Schizosaccharomyces pombe: one gene and its partner. The protein of the gene in region 1 interacts with the protein of each later gene in a pairwise test. Each region holds a gene or a part of one and is shown in the gene's direction. Other genes may lie near its edges.

The links. Proteins that work in one complex are often made in the same cells at the same time.
Region 2: the proteins of krp1 (region 1) and ngg1 interact in a two-hybrid assay, tested with the Schizosaccharomyces pombe proteins (one study listed by BioGRID).

The regions. Positions count from the first base shown.
Region 1 is NC_003424.3:5,031,830-5,040,805, reverse strand, and holds krp1 (kexin), read left to right. Parts: upstream 1-4,225; 5' UTR 4,226-4,236; coding exon 4,237-6,366; 3' UTR 6,367-6,619; downstream 6,620-8,976. Other genes in the region: putative histone H3 lysine methyltransferase Set3, read left to right, coding at 1-904; etp1 (monooxygenase-ferredoxin fusion protein), read left to right, coding at 1,703-3,314, 3,360-3,598; RNA polymerase I upstream activation factor complex subunit Rrn10, read right to left, coding at 6,983-7,150, 7,203-7,328; RanGAP Rna1, read right to left, coding at 7,862-8,976. UniProt on the Schizosaccharomyces pombe protein: Membrane-bound, subtilisin-like serine protease that processes the P-factor precursor and other precursor proteins. Essential for cell viability. Cleaves substrate on the C-terminal side of dibasic residues.
Region 2 is NC_003423.3:1,585,320-1,590,944, reverse strand, and holds ngg1 (SAGA complex subunit Ngg1/Ada3), read left to right. Parts: upstream 1-2,546; 5' UTR 2,547-2,602; coding exon 2,603-4,258; 3' UTR 4,259-4,353; downstream 4,354-5,625. Other genes in the region: upstream binding transcription factor, RNA polymerase I specific, Hmo1, read right to left, coding at 462-1,364, 1,557-1,586; transcription factor TFIIA complex large subunit Toa1, read right to left, coding at 4,528-5,517, 5,559-5,625. UniProt on the Schizosaccharomyces pombe protein: Component of the transcription coactivator SAGA complex. SAGA acts as a general cofactor required for essentially all RNA polymerase II transcription. At the promoters, SAGA is required for transcription pre-initiation complex (PIC) recruitment.

The DNA.
Region 1 (8,976 bases):
TCCTCCATCTTTTAATGTTGGAGAATCACTAAGTAGGCGATCAGCCTCACCATTACAACATCCTCGAACAAGCCCAGATATGCTGGACAAAACTTCTCCTTGCAAAAGAGGATTAGGAACTATTACGACAGTCCACAAAAAGCATGGTTCTGTTGATCATTTGCCGTCAGTTAAAAGACGCCGTAGCATTGCAAATGATTTTCATGGCAAACCTGATTATAATAAAAGATCGCTATCTATCGAAAGGAAGCCGGAAGCCTTTAAGACTAAAGGTGACAGACCACATAAGGTCCATCCTTCTTTCCATAGAAATTCAGATTCAAAATTGAAACTCGAGCCGTCGAGTAAAGAAAAGAGTGGGTCCATGTTTTTTAATACGTTAAGGACTGTAAAAGATAAATCGCATGTTCACGACACTCAAAGGTCTTCTGACGTTAACTTTTCTAGACAGAATGGCACTCGATCCCATTCACCTTCGGTTAGTCCTGTCGGGTTTTCGTTTGATAAATCTCCTGTAACTACGCCTCCTTTGCCGACAGCTCCAGCACCAGTTATAACGAGTCGCCATGCTTTGGTAAACAACCAATTTCCTACGAACAATCCAAACATTTTGGACCACAAAGCCAACAACGGTGATGATATCTCGAATGCGTTAAATACTTCAAGAAGCGAAAACAAGCCCAATTCGAATCTGGTCCAAGGAAGTGTAGTCAAGCCTAGTAACACTTCAGCCTCTGCTCTTCCTACCTCAGCACCGAAGAAGCTATCTCTTTCTGAGTATCGACAACGACGTCAACAAAACATTCTGCATCAACAGTCGAAGGATAATCAAGCACATGGCGATACAGCTAGGCCTCACACCGTTCCTGCTGCTACAGTTTCTAACCCTTCATTTACGCGATAAAAATTCTAGAAGATGTTGTAAATCTTGAAACCATATAAATGTGTGGATGATTTTTTTTATTGGATATGGTATACGAACAAGTTTTCACGATTCTAAAGTTGGTACGATGACTGCATCTTTTTACCTTCATATGTATTTTCATTTCATTTTTTTATTATGATGATTGGTACTCGGAGCATATTTTACTGTCACCTGCTTCTGCATTCTTTTCTTCTTCGTTTGTAAATATTTAATGACTAAGTGTTTGGGCGAAAACTCTAGTTCCTTTTTTTTTTTTTAGTTTCTTTTGATTCAGAGCAACGAACCCTCAGTCGTTGCATTTTTCTGTTCCTAATTTGCACGTTTAGAACATTGTACAATATAATAATATTAATTTATAGCAGTTAAATGATTTATGTTTGTCATATAGAAGTTTCGGTTCGTAAGATTATAAGAACTAACTATTTAAGATGTCAGCTATTTCCGTATGCGACATGTACTAGATTAAATAACTTTTTGGATACGCAAATGAAGCTAGTACATTTTGAGTATTAAGTATCATAAATATAAACATCGATTCAAATATGCTACGTGCAGATTTCAGCGAATTGTCGCATCAAATTAAACTATTCATCGACGATCCACTCAGATCTTGTATATATCAAACGGCCTACGTTAATATAGCTTGTCTACTTATAGCGACTCTGAAAGTGCGCCGTTAGATTATTGTGGTATAGAACCGGGAGGTTAGGTACCATTCCTCTCTCTCCATGAACCTACTTTTTTAAGCGAAACGCAAACAAAAGTAAACAATTACCAATGAACATTTCACGTTCATCAGGTCTGATGAGACAGTTCCTGCTTCAGCCCTTACGGAAAGGCTGCGACATTTCTTGCCTTGGAAGGTCAAGTTGGAGAATGAGCAGGAGCTTCTCTGGATCGAGTGTTTTAAATGAAATTAATTTGTCACGGACTAAGAATTTATTTTTGAATGATTGTAAGTTTAATAAAAATTCATTTGAAAAGTTTTTTGCTCGCCGGCTGAGTAACTCAGTCGCTCCTACACCAGGTGGCATCCTACAGGAAACCGAAAAAATTCCGAGTAAAAAGGTCGCCTTTTGGCTGCTTGGATCTTCTGCTCTTGTTCTTGCAATTGTTGTTGTAGGTGGCATTACTAGACTAACTGAATCCGGGTTAAGTATTACTGAATGGAAGCCCATCACTGGCGTAATTCCTCCTCTTACTGATGAACAATGGAACCAAGAATTTGAGCTTTACAAAAAATCACCAGAGTTTGAGAAGCTGAACAGCCATATGACAGTGGATGAGTTTAAAAACATATTTTTCTGGGAGTGGTTTCATCGTGTCCTCGGTAGAGGAATCGGCTTGACAATCCTTCTTCCTTCCATATACATGATTGTGACTAAAAGGGCATCTCCTTGGCTAAGCAAGCGACTAATCGGCCTTACGGGACTCGTTGGACTTCAAGGAGTCATCGGTTGGTGGATGGTCAAGAGTGGTCTTTCAGAAGAGCTCTTCAGTGATGGTTCTCATCCGCGTGTTAGTCATTATCGCTTGGCTACTCATTTAGCCGCTGCCGTTGCTCTCTATATTGGCTTGGTGTGGACTGGGCATGGAATCCTTCAACGACATGCCTTTTTGAAATCTATGAAGAGTGGCTCCACATCTCAATTGACTTCAATGGTTTCTTCAGTTCAGAAAATGAAAGGATTTCGTACTAGTGTTAACTCATTTGTTGGCTTGGTACTGATCACCCTTTTGTCCGGTGCCTTTGTTGCTGGATTGGATGCCGGAATGATTTATTGTACTTTCCCGGAAATGGGCGAAGGAAGACTTGCTCCATCTAAAAGCGAGTTATTTGATCAAAGGTTTTGTAGGAAAGACGACAAGTCCGATCTTATATGGAGAAACATGATTGACAACCCAAGTCTTGTTCAACTCGAACACCGTATCTTAGCTATTACTACTTTTGTTGCTGCATGTGGTCTTTTTATTTTTTCCCGTGCTAAAAGAAACATTTTGCCTAAGAAGATTAAAACTAGCATTAACGTTGTTACAGGCGTTGTAACTGCTCAAGCTACTTTGGGTATTATGACTCTAATCTATGTTGTCCCTGTACCTTTGGCAGCCCTTCATCAAGCCGGTAGTCTTGTTACATTAACCGCGGCCTTATCACTTGCTCAGCGCTTGCATCCAGAATACGCTTTAAAAAACATCCGCTCATGGACAAAATTAATCTCTTCTCCTCCCAAAAGTAGCATTTCATCTTCCATTTTGACTCAACAACGCCAATTCCATACATTCCGCCCATCATTCCATTCCGAAATTAAAAAGCCTTTGCCGGGCACTGGAATCAAAGTTTTTTTCGTCACGCCTGAAGGACGTGAAATCATGATTGAGGGAAATGAAGGTGATAGTATTTTAGATCTCGCTCATGCTAACAATATCGATTTAGAAGGCGCTTGTGAAGGGTCTGTTGCATGTTCGACTTGCCATGTTATCGTAGATCCAGAGCATTACGAACTTTTGGATCCCCCGGAAGAAGATGAAGAAGACATGCTTGATTTAGCATTTGGTCTTGAGGAAACAAGCAGATTGGGATGCCAAGTACTCTTAAGAAAAGATTTGGATGGCATCCGTGTACGAATTCCTGCTCAGACTAGAAACATACGATTGGAGAGACCAAAAGCTTGATTTTGTCAACATGCTTACAATTTGACAAGTGTCTCGTACTAGTATTCCATAAAAGTATTTTCTTCCGAAAGTATACTATCTCATCCGTATTCTCAACTTTCATTTTTTTTTTTTGGATCAAGTTCATGCCTAGCTAATAAATGCACATAACTAATTAAATAGTCAACCTGGCACATGGTTTTACATTTTAACTATATTCCTTCTTTATCCAGACTACAGTTGTTTTAATTATAAATTAACCCTTTGTTTTCAAATCTTACACTTAATCATGAAAACTTGTAATATTACTAAGACCAGGATGAAGATGGTTTCTAAATTTCATACTTTTAATGTTTTCATCGTCGTTTATATTTTTTTTACTATTAAATGCTTAAAGTTATTTCATGATTAACAAGTAGATGCTCTATTTTTCTGTATTGATGAAATGTAATATATAACATGGTATTATAGTAGACACACGGTTTAGCAATTGCTCACTTTTGCCATGTATTTCTTAATTGGAAAAGTTTAAATACTGACAGCTTTACACTTTATATGTGTTTTAGTCGAATGGCTGTTTTATTGTACATAGCCACCACTATGGTACAGTGGACACCATAATCTGTTAAGCCACCTAGTGCATACACCGTCCCAGCACCATGCATCCTGCTTTGCTATGTGGGCCAATTCTTGCAATATTTTTACAGTTTTTGGTTTCTTCTTGCTCTCCATTAGAAAACGATGATTTATTTCTAGTTCAAGTGGAACCTGAAGTTGATCCTGTAGTAGCAGCAGAAGCCATTGGTGCTAAGTATGTGCGCCCTTTATTAAATTTGAAGTATCACCATTTAATTAAGCTACATAAGGGGAGCGATGATTCAGTCCAAAGTTCAATTCGAAAACGAGGCATTGATGCCGGAATCTTGGAATTGGAGCGCCAGACGCCCAGATGGCGCTACAAGCGGGATGCGAGTGAATCTGATGAATTACTGAATGAGTTCTCTAATCATTTTGGAATTTCGGATCCTCTCTTTTATGGCCAATGGCACATATTCAACTCGAATAATCCTGGACACGATCTGAATCTACGTGAAGTCTGGGACGCCGGTTACTTCGGTGAGAATGTTACCGTTGCATTTGTAGACGATGGAATTGATTTTAAACATCCAGATTTGCAAGCTGCTTACACTTCGCTTGGTTCTTGGGACTTCAATGATAACATTGCTGACCCTTTGCCAAAGTTATCAGATGATCAGCACGGCACCCGTTGTGCTGGAGAAGTGGCTGCAGCTTGGAACGACGTTTGTGGCGTAGGCATAGCTCCACGCGCCAAGGTCGCTGGACTTCGTATTCTTTCGGCCCCTATTACTGATGCTGTTGAATCGGAAGCACTGAATTATGGCTTTCAAACAAATCATATATATTCATGTTCCTGGGGCCCTGCAGATGATGGAAGAGCAATGGATGCTCCTAATACGGCTACTCGTCGTGCGTTGATGAACGGTGTCCTTAATGGCCGAAATGGTCTTGGGTCGATTTTTGTGTTCGCTTCTGGAAATGGAGGCCATTATCATGATAATTGCAATTTTGATGGCTACACGAATAGCATATTCAGTGCTACCATTGGTGCTGTTGATGCTGAACATAAAATCCCATTTTACAGTGAGGTGTGTGCTGCGCAATTAGTTTCAGCATATAGTAGTGGCTCACATTTGTCTATATTAACTACAAATCCTGAAGGCACATGTACTAGAAGTCATGGTGGTACCTCAGCGGCTGCTCCGTTAGCATCTGCTGTATATGCTTTGGCGCTTTCGATTCGTCCTGACCTTAGTTGGAGAGACATTCAGCATATTACAGTGTATTCAGCATCTCCTTTTGATAGCCCTTCTCAAAATGCAGAATGGCAAAAGACTCCAGCAGGATTCCAGTTCTCCCATCATTTTGGGTTTGGTAAATTGGATGCATCGAAGTTCGTCGAGGTGGCTAAGGATTGGCAGGTCGTGAATCCACAAACCTGGCTCATTGCTCCAGAAATTAATGTTAATAAATCATTCGGGAGTGTTAACAATGAGACAATAACTGAAATGGTAAGCGAATTTACCGTTACTAAGGATATGATTGAGAAAAGCAACTTCAAAAGATTAGAACATGTCACTGTTAGGGTGTGTATACCTTTTAACCGAAGAGGAGCATTGGAGATTCTCTTGGAAAGCCCTTCCGGCATTCGTTCAATCCTTGCCAGTGAACGACCGTATGATGAGAATAGTAAGGGGTTTTTAGACTGGACGTTCATGACTGTGCAGCATTGGGCCGAACCTCCAGAGGGGGTTTGGAAGTTACTGGTTAATGATCGAAGTGGTGGAAAGCATGAAGGTACGTTTGAAAATTGGCAGTTGGCTTTGTGGGGAGAATCTGAAAACCCTTCTAATACTGCACCACTCCCTTATGACACTCTTGAGCTTCCAAAGGAGATGGTCTTGGGAATATACTCTGAACCAAATAGCGATCTGACTAACTCAAGTACCTTGTTGAGCCCTACGTCTACTTCATTTACTTCTTACACCGTATCTGCCACAGCTACACCTACATCAACGTCTCATATACCGATTCCTACAGTCCTACCCCCTACCCAACCTGTATTGGAACCCTCTTATAGAGAAATTGTTGCATTTATTACTTTCTTTTTGTTGTTTGCCTTTATTTTCGTTGCTGTCATATGGACATGGATTTCCGCATTTTGGAAAGCTAAAGCACCCCCACCATTGTCTCAGCAAGAAATTGCTTGAAAAGTTAACACTCGTTTTTTCACTTCTGTTTAAAATAATATGGACTACTTTTTAAAGTATGATCTCTTCTTAGATGTCACTTGTCATTCGTTTCATTCATCGATATGAAACAACCTAATTGGCATTTCTTAATTTTGCATTTTAATAAATACGCATGGACTACGTATTTAATTCGACCCCTTTGAAGTGTAATCATTAGATAGCGTGTATAAATACCAAGTAATAAAATGTATATTGGATTATGCTTTGGGTAGTTGAAGTGATTGTCTTTACGATTCACTGGTAACAGTATTCGGATTTAATAGTAAAGGCTTTGCAAAAAAAAAATAGTTGAAGTCCTAATATGTTTGCTAATGTATCGCAAAGCTTGTTAAAATCTTAACAGCATCGTTGCTTCTCGCTTTTCAGCAGCCTGCATACATGTCAAGCAATGTAATTACATCTGTAATGTTGATTTTAAACAATTATCAAAAGATAAAAATTTCAATACACAAATACGCATTCATAGCTGTTTAACAACTTTACGCCATATAGAAAAATCATCAAAGTTAGTCATACAAATGTAACGGAGTCATCTCGAAACAAACGAATGAAAAGTAAAATGTACAAGGATAATTCATCTTTCTTCAAATTCTTCCAAACAATCAGTAACCATAGCATCCATCCATTCAGTCACCAAATATCCCAACCCCAATAAAGCACTTTCATCCAAACACTCGAATGACTTTTTCCCTGTCGCAAGCATGTATTCTGTTGCAAAATCCTGGATGCTATGAACTAAATCCTAAACATAAAAAGATTAGTTAAACAAGTATTGGCAGAAGCTGTGAACTTACAGGATCCGGCAGTTCATGTGGAATTGGAACAGAAAAATCCTGTACTAAATCACGAGCTCTGTAAGACAATTCACCATCAGCATTCACCAAATTATACAAAGTTGGCCGAGTTGGTGGATTTGACATTAATAGATGGCGTTGGACGTAGAGTATGTACTATGCTAGGTGAAGCTTCTAATTCGTCCTTGCAGTAGTACAATCATATTTGGAAACACCAAGCTCAAGTAATGGAATCCCCACATTCTTAAAAGTTAACTGCGACTTACAGAAAATTTATCTCGAGGTTTACAGACATACTGAAAAAATAGTTCAGGCTTTACGACATAACAACAAAACAACTTTACACAGATACAATCCAAACCATATTATATTGACCCAATACTTAATTAAAGTGGGTTATTAATAAAACGTAAAGAACCTTTTCGCCATTTTTGAAAGGGGAATTTTTTTTCTGTCATATACAGATTTAATCTAATACTATTTATCGGTCCTGCCGCGTAAAAAGACAGAATGTTGATAAAAATGCAGAAGGAAATCGAATGGTCGATATAGACCATCCGTTGACCACAATCGTTCATTACCGCCTAGCATGAACAATAGAAATATGTTAAAAAATTTCGGAAACAGCGGAGCAGGGTTCGAGAGGGAAAGTAGTTGCTCTAAATATGAGCTTTTGATAGCTCATCAGCAAGTTCTTTGTCTTCTTTTTCTTCTTCAGAAGTCTCCGGCTCAGGGCTTTGAGACTCAGCTTCTTCTTCTTCATCCTCCTCCTCCTCGTCGGTAAGTTCCTCCATATCATCAAGCTCATCTAGTTCACCACGACCACGGGTGCTAAAGACTTCACGTATTTCATCAACAACATCGTCTTCTTCCGAAAATCTGTTTCCATTTAATTCAAGGAATAAAAGATCCGGCATTTTCTCATCAATCACAGTTTTTAGGGTCCGGACAGCATCCAGCTCTATCTCGTTATACTGTAAGCGTAACGTTTGAAGCCCAATATTTTCTAATTTAGAAAAAGCATCTACAACTGCGGCAGCACCGCGAGCAGATAAGAGACAATCGTTGAGGCCTAGTTCTCGAAGGTTGGGCCAGCTTTTCAACGCGATAGCGAGAGCGCTAGAGCCCAAGTGCGTAAATGTGTTATCTTGAAGATCGAGTACCTTTAGCTCTTGGCAATATGCTAATCCTTCAAGCAATAAGTGTTCAATACCTTCGGGACGGATACCATTTTGCACCATTTTCACTGTATGTAGCAAACGGTGGCTCTGGAAAGTTTTAGCCCATTCTTTCATACTCCCATTTTCTAAACGATTTCTTCCACAAATAATGGAACGCAAGGGAGGTGCATTTTTAGCTTTCTTGTTGACCGCCAGCTCTTGCAAGGCACGAGCAATTTTTGCGCCAGCTTGAGGACCGAGTCCATTATTGTGTAGGTAAAGATGCTCCAAAGGTGTGTGTTTTGAAAGAAAGTCAATCAAGGGCTCCTGTGCAGTAGGGCCAAAGGCATTATCGCTCAATCTTACAGTATGTAGTTTTGGGCACTTGAGTAAAGCTTGTAGCAACAGACGTAAAGCCTCAGGAATTTCATCTTTGACACGTCCAGTAAAGATATCACTAAACTCTGCAATTTCTAAATCTTTTTTTGAGGCAATATTCTCTGACAACCATCTAGCAGCTTCGGTTCCAATTGTGTTACCAGACAATACAATTTCCTTTACAGAATCATCTTCTAACAGAACAGCAAATACAGACTTCTCGTCTTCAGTTGTAA
Region 2 (5,625 bases), on another chromosome or scaffold:
GTGCATACAACAATCACCATTCTATAGTACTCCAAAATTTTTTAATGGAAATCATAACAATAAATTAAAAGTTCTCAAAATCATTAAGATACTTTTTATGGCGAAGATAAATTTATTCCTGTATACAGCAGAAAGATCATTGGAAGAATGTAAACTTAAACAAAAATTACCTGTTAGCTAATTATTTATTCTAAGGCTATAATAGATTTCAACCAATATAGATATTATGTGCCTGCCGTTAAACGTTTATATACAACTGCTGTGACCAAAAACGATTATTATGTATTATATAACAACCAGTATTTTTAACAAGCAATATTTACAGACATTAGCAACCTGAGTAATAATAGAGAGCACTCAAATCAGCAATACAAGCAAACACTTGTTGCTAATTAATCATTTCCTATAACTTTAATGTTCGGAACAAGGAAATACACAATTAATGAAATTATCAAGCAAACTCAATTAGCAACTTTGGCGGTAGGGGGAGTGGTAATGGAAGAAGACATCGAGCTTTTGCGACGTTTCTTTTTTTCCCTTTTCGCTGATGGCGGATTGGGGCTAGAAACGATTTTGTCAGGAGAGGGTTGAGGTTGAGAAACTGGTTCAACATTGCTTGTAGGTACTGTTGAACGGGTGTGCTTTCGCTTCGGTTTCTTAGCATGCTGTTCTTTAATGTCAGGAGTGGCTCTAGAAGCTTGAGCCAATGGTCTGGTTTCTGAAAAGTCTATCAAATCTTTTTTAGTGGGAGAGGATAAGTCTTCTGAAGGTTTAGTAGAAGTTTCCTCAGCCGTAACTCGACTATCAGCAACTGACGCATTTTCTTTAGAAGCATTATAAGCAGCCATTTCTTCTTCGTAGGCTTCTCGAAGTTTAGAAGCTTCTTCTTCGTAAGTTTTCCGATCATCTTCAGATAGCGAGCCCCACTTTTCATGCATCGCTTTATTCACCTCTTTAACATCGTTACTCTTCTCGCCCAAAGACTCCTTGATTTCCGATCGTTGGTTCTTCTGAAAGAGATTATAGGCTGATGGAGGGCGCTTTGGTTGTGCAGGATCCCTAGCCTTGCGCTTGTTTGGGGTCATGGAGGCTACAGCTTCCGACGTATCGACTGCGGAGGTTGCCTCAACAGGAGCTACTGCTGCAGGAGTAGCTTTCTTAGGTGAAGTTGCTTTTTTAGAAGGAGACTCAATTGCCATATTAATCTCTTTCTTCGCATTTGATGGATCAGTGACGGCTGGCTTAAAAGGTTTCGAAACCTCGGACTTCTCTCCTAATATCGAAGGAAGTGATTCTTCGATCTCACGGCATGCGGTTAAAGCTAACTGAAAAGCTTCCGCCAACCTTGTGAAAGAACCAGAAATCTAAGACGGCAATTTGTTAGATAAAAACCAAAAACCAAGCGGATAACTAAAGAAAATTTTGCATTTAATCATCAAACTTTTCAACCAATTAAAAAAGATTATTTTTAGTAAATACTTGATTTAAATCAATTTTTTGAATCATAAAACATTATGTTGGTTCAAAACACCAAAACTCTTTAAAATATCACATACCTTTTCCAGTTGGGTTGAGTTTTGAGCCATCGTACTACTTAAAAAATATTCAAAGTTTCTAATACAACTAAAGCTTCAATACGATGGCAAATACAGGAAATGGTGGCTGACCTACCGGGGTGATGGCGGGAATTTAAATCTTAGCGGTTATGACGGTGGGTGGTTGGTTAATGCTGGAAATGCGAAGCAGATGAAATTGCTTCAGTTAAACCCACCAGTTCGGTTGAGCTTTCTTCACATTTTATTATTATTACAGTTTATAGTTATTTAATATATGTGACAATTGTTATTGTTGAAATTACGATGGTTCAGTGAGATATTTCTTCATGTGATTCTGTTGAGTGATATAATGAAAATTACAAAAGACAATTGTAGTAAATTAAATATATAATAGGAAAATATGAGAAAATCTACAACCGAGAAAAATTTTTTTTTTTTTTTTTTTTTTTTTTCTTTTTCTAATCTCAATCCACTAAATTTGCTGAGACTTACAGTCAAATAATGTCCCATAAATGGAAAGAATAGCAATAAAAACATCCAAAATTTAAAAAAAAAAAATGATAAAACATTTTCTTGTAAATATTTACCTCTTAATTAAGTATAAACAAATCCTATTCCATTGACTCGTAGATCTATTTCATGATATCTTGTGAAGCTGCAACTCTGTTTATCTAGTTCTTGCGCTAGACCAATTGGTTTAGAAACTATTAAATTTAAGATAAATTTAATTTTAAACAAACCAAAGATCACTTATAGTGTTCAAAATACTTCGCAAAGCATATTGCTTTTGCGATGGATTCACTATGAATAAAATATATTGCTGTTTAATTTGGTTTGAGATATCATATTCGTAGCAATTCAACGCTGTTCTTGATTAATATTTCTGAGCACCGTTATAACAATGTAACAAGTGGTATACTAGACTTCGCTAAAAGTACGCCATCATCGAAATCCGGTATAAAAAATCACCACCTCAGTAATGAATTTTTTCGGGGGAGAGAGACATATGTAAATGTTGTATTGTTCACGATTTAAATTTTTTTGGGATGTCCTCCGAACAACAAAATGAAGCTGATTCGAAACCCGCGGTGATTCCTCAATGTTTTAAAATTGAAAATCAATACGAGACCTTTTCCCGTCTGAGTGAAACGTCAACTCCTGGTGTTGTACCGTCTGTGTCGACATTATGGCGGCTTCTGTTTGAGCTGCAAAAAATGATTGAGTGTGAACCGTCTTGTGTAGAATATTTTCGCCAGCGCAAAGAAGAGTTAGAGTCTCATGTCGATTCTGAAATAGAAACCTCAAAAGACGAATCGTCGGTTAATAAAGTGGAAGAAAAAGTAGAAGAATTTAAAGAAGACAACGTTGAACAAGAAATAAAGCAAAAGCGTTCTCTTTCCGAAAGTCCACAAGAGTCTATGCTAGAAAAAGTTTCCAAGAAGCCCAAAGTTTCAGAGGCCCATAATGAAGAAATCAGTCCCGAAAATGTGGAAACAATTGAGAATGAATTAGATTTACCGGTTAAGGGTAAAGATGAACAGACAACTGGGTTGGTATATAAAAACGCAAACGATCTTCTAACCGGTTCATTACTATCTTTCATTGTTGACGATTCCTTCTCTTATGAACAAAAAAAGAAGCTTTTATGTGTAGATTCCTTTCCAACCAGTGATGTACGATCGTTGGTGGCAGGAACTCCGGCGACTGATGATTTTTCTCACAACAAGCCAAATAACCAGATTTCAATATCAACCTTTTATTCGTCACTTGACCCATATTTTCGTGCTTTCAATGATGATGATATTGCTTTTTTAAAAAAAGGATTTGACGTTTCGTCTTCCTATAATATTCCTCCTTTGGGGGAACGCTATTACGATTTAACTCCGGAAGATGAAATGACCAACCTGTGTGCTAACTCAATTTACCAAAACCTGCAAACCTCTGCTCAAGGATCCCTTGAAGCTTTTAATGAGGCAGATACCGTCTCTGAGGAAGTTAGGTGTGGTCCACTCACTGAACGACTAATGGCTTCATTAATTCCTTGCTACACGCAGAATGATGAGGAGCAAAAACCTTCTATTGCTGTTGGCGAATTTGCGGAAACCGATTCTGGATCCGAGAAAAGCAAAATTGGTACAAGCATTGATGGAATCGAGTCAGGAAATAATGAATATACAGAACAACCGGATATACAAGAGTCGAGTCTTTCAATTTGTGAGGACCGCCTTCGTTACACCCTAAAACAACTAGGTATACTTTATGATGGCGATGTAGATTGGTCAAAGCGACAGGATGATGAAATTTCAGCTACCTTAAGGAGTTTGAATGCTCGTTTGAAGGTAGTTTCTGATGAAAACGAAAAAATGAGGAATGCGCTGTTACAGATGCTTCCTGAGGAAATGGCATTTCAAGAATTCCAAAATGTGATGGATGATCTAGATAAACAAATCGAACAAGCGTATGTCAAACGTAACAGAAGTTTGAAGGTTAAAAAGAAACGTATTGTTACTGATAAAATTGGCTCTTCAGCTACGAGCGGCTCTTTTCCTGTCATCAAATCATTGATGGACAAGCGCTCAATGTGGTTAGAAAAGCTTCAACCTTTATTTCAGGATAAGCTTACGCAACACCTTGGTTCGCCAACTTCTATTTTTAATGATTTATCGGACCACACTACATCTAATTACAGTACATCTGTATGAAGCGTTTAAAATTTGAAAGTGTATATACTGTAATTCTATCATTGTGATCTAATTTAATTGCTTGCTTTAGTGAATAAAATTTGCATGAAATAATAATAATACTTTTAACCGTAGAATAGATTGATGTGCTCACTAAAATATGATAGGAAGATTACTTAAATGCACTTATAAACATGATTCATGAAGAAAACAAAAAGGCCAAAAAGAAGAATGATTGATAGATAAAATACGTCCATCACTTTTTGAAGCAAAACACCTAAAGTAAAATTTTAAATCCATTCAAACTCACCATTCGCCTTGAAAAATAAGTAATCTTTTCCATTAACGCCAACTACGCCATCTCTGAACACACATTTCCATTTATTTTTGTGGTGGTTCACTTTGTCATAAAGACAAAGAACGATAGCCTGTCCAATATCAGAACCTTCTTCAGTTTCGGGAGCCTCATCTGAATCAGGATCGTCTAAATCTGAGTTAATTGCTTCGTCAGAAGGCGTATCAACAGGTGGCTTTTTTTCATCTTCGTTATCTTCTATAGTGCCGTCAATTTGCAAAATGCGATTCTTTTTCAAAACTTCATAAATTTCAGCATCAGCTTTCTGTGCAATAGCAAATCTATTACTTTCAAAATTAGAAGGGCTCCCAGCATCATCTAGATCATGAATAGCACCATCGGTTTGAGGCACGTCATTACGAGAATTAGCAGGGGTGGTATTAGAAGACTCTGTCTCTCCTAATTCAGACTTTTTCGGAGAGTTTTGATTGGGAAGTAACAATCCGCCAAATGAGTTAGTAGATGAAGAGTCGGGAGCATGTTCTTGGCCCGTAGAAGTTACATTTGCAGTCGAATGGTCGTTGATAATCGGTGAGTCAGCAGTTTGATTAGTGGGCAGTTGCAATGAGTTAGAGCTGTAAGAAGGGAAGGGGGCAGTATTATTAGGGTTGGACTGTACGTTAGGTATTGCAGAGCTGTCAAACGAAATATTTGTTGCTGACTGGGGGAGAGAGGGAGTAGGTGGAGAATAATAATTTGAATTACCATGTTGCTGCGCAAATGTATCCATCTGCTGAACAGCACGAATAGCGGCTATATTATTAAGTATGGGAGAGTTTGCAACAGCTGGAGCAGTAACATCTAATGAATCTGTCCTCAAGCCGCTAACTGGATCAAACAATTGACCAATGGGAAATGTGCCAACAGGAGCTTGTGCCCAAGGAAAAGTTGCAACATCGGTAGCAACTAACTTGCTTTGCCATAACTGTTTTATTAGAAAAAGACCTAAACTTCATAAAACCGTACATTTTGTAATTCTCGTAAAGTTGCATCATCAACACCATTTTCTTCAAAATCGCTCCGTGAATTAGCA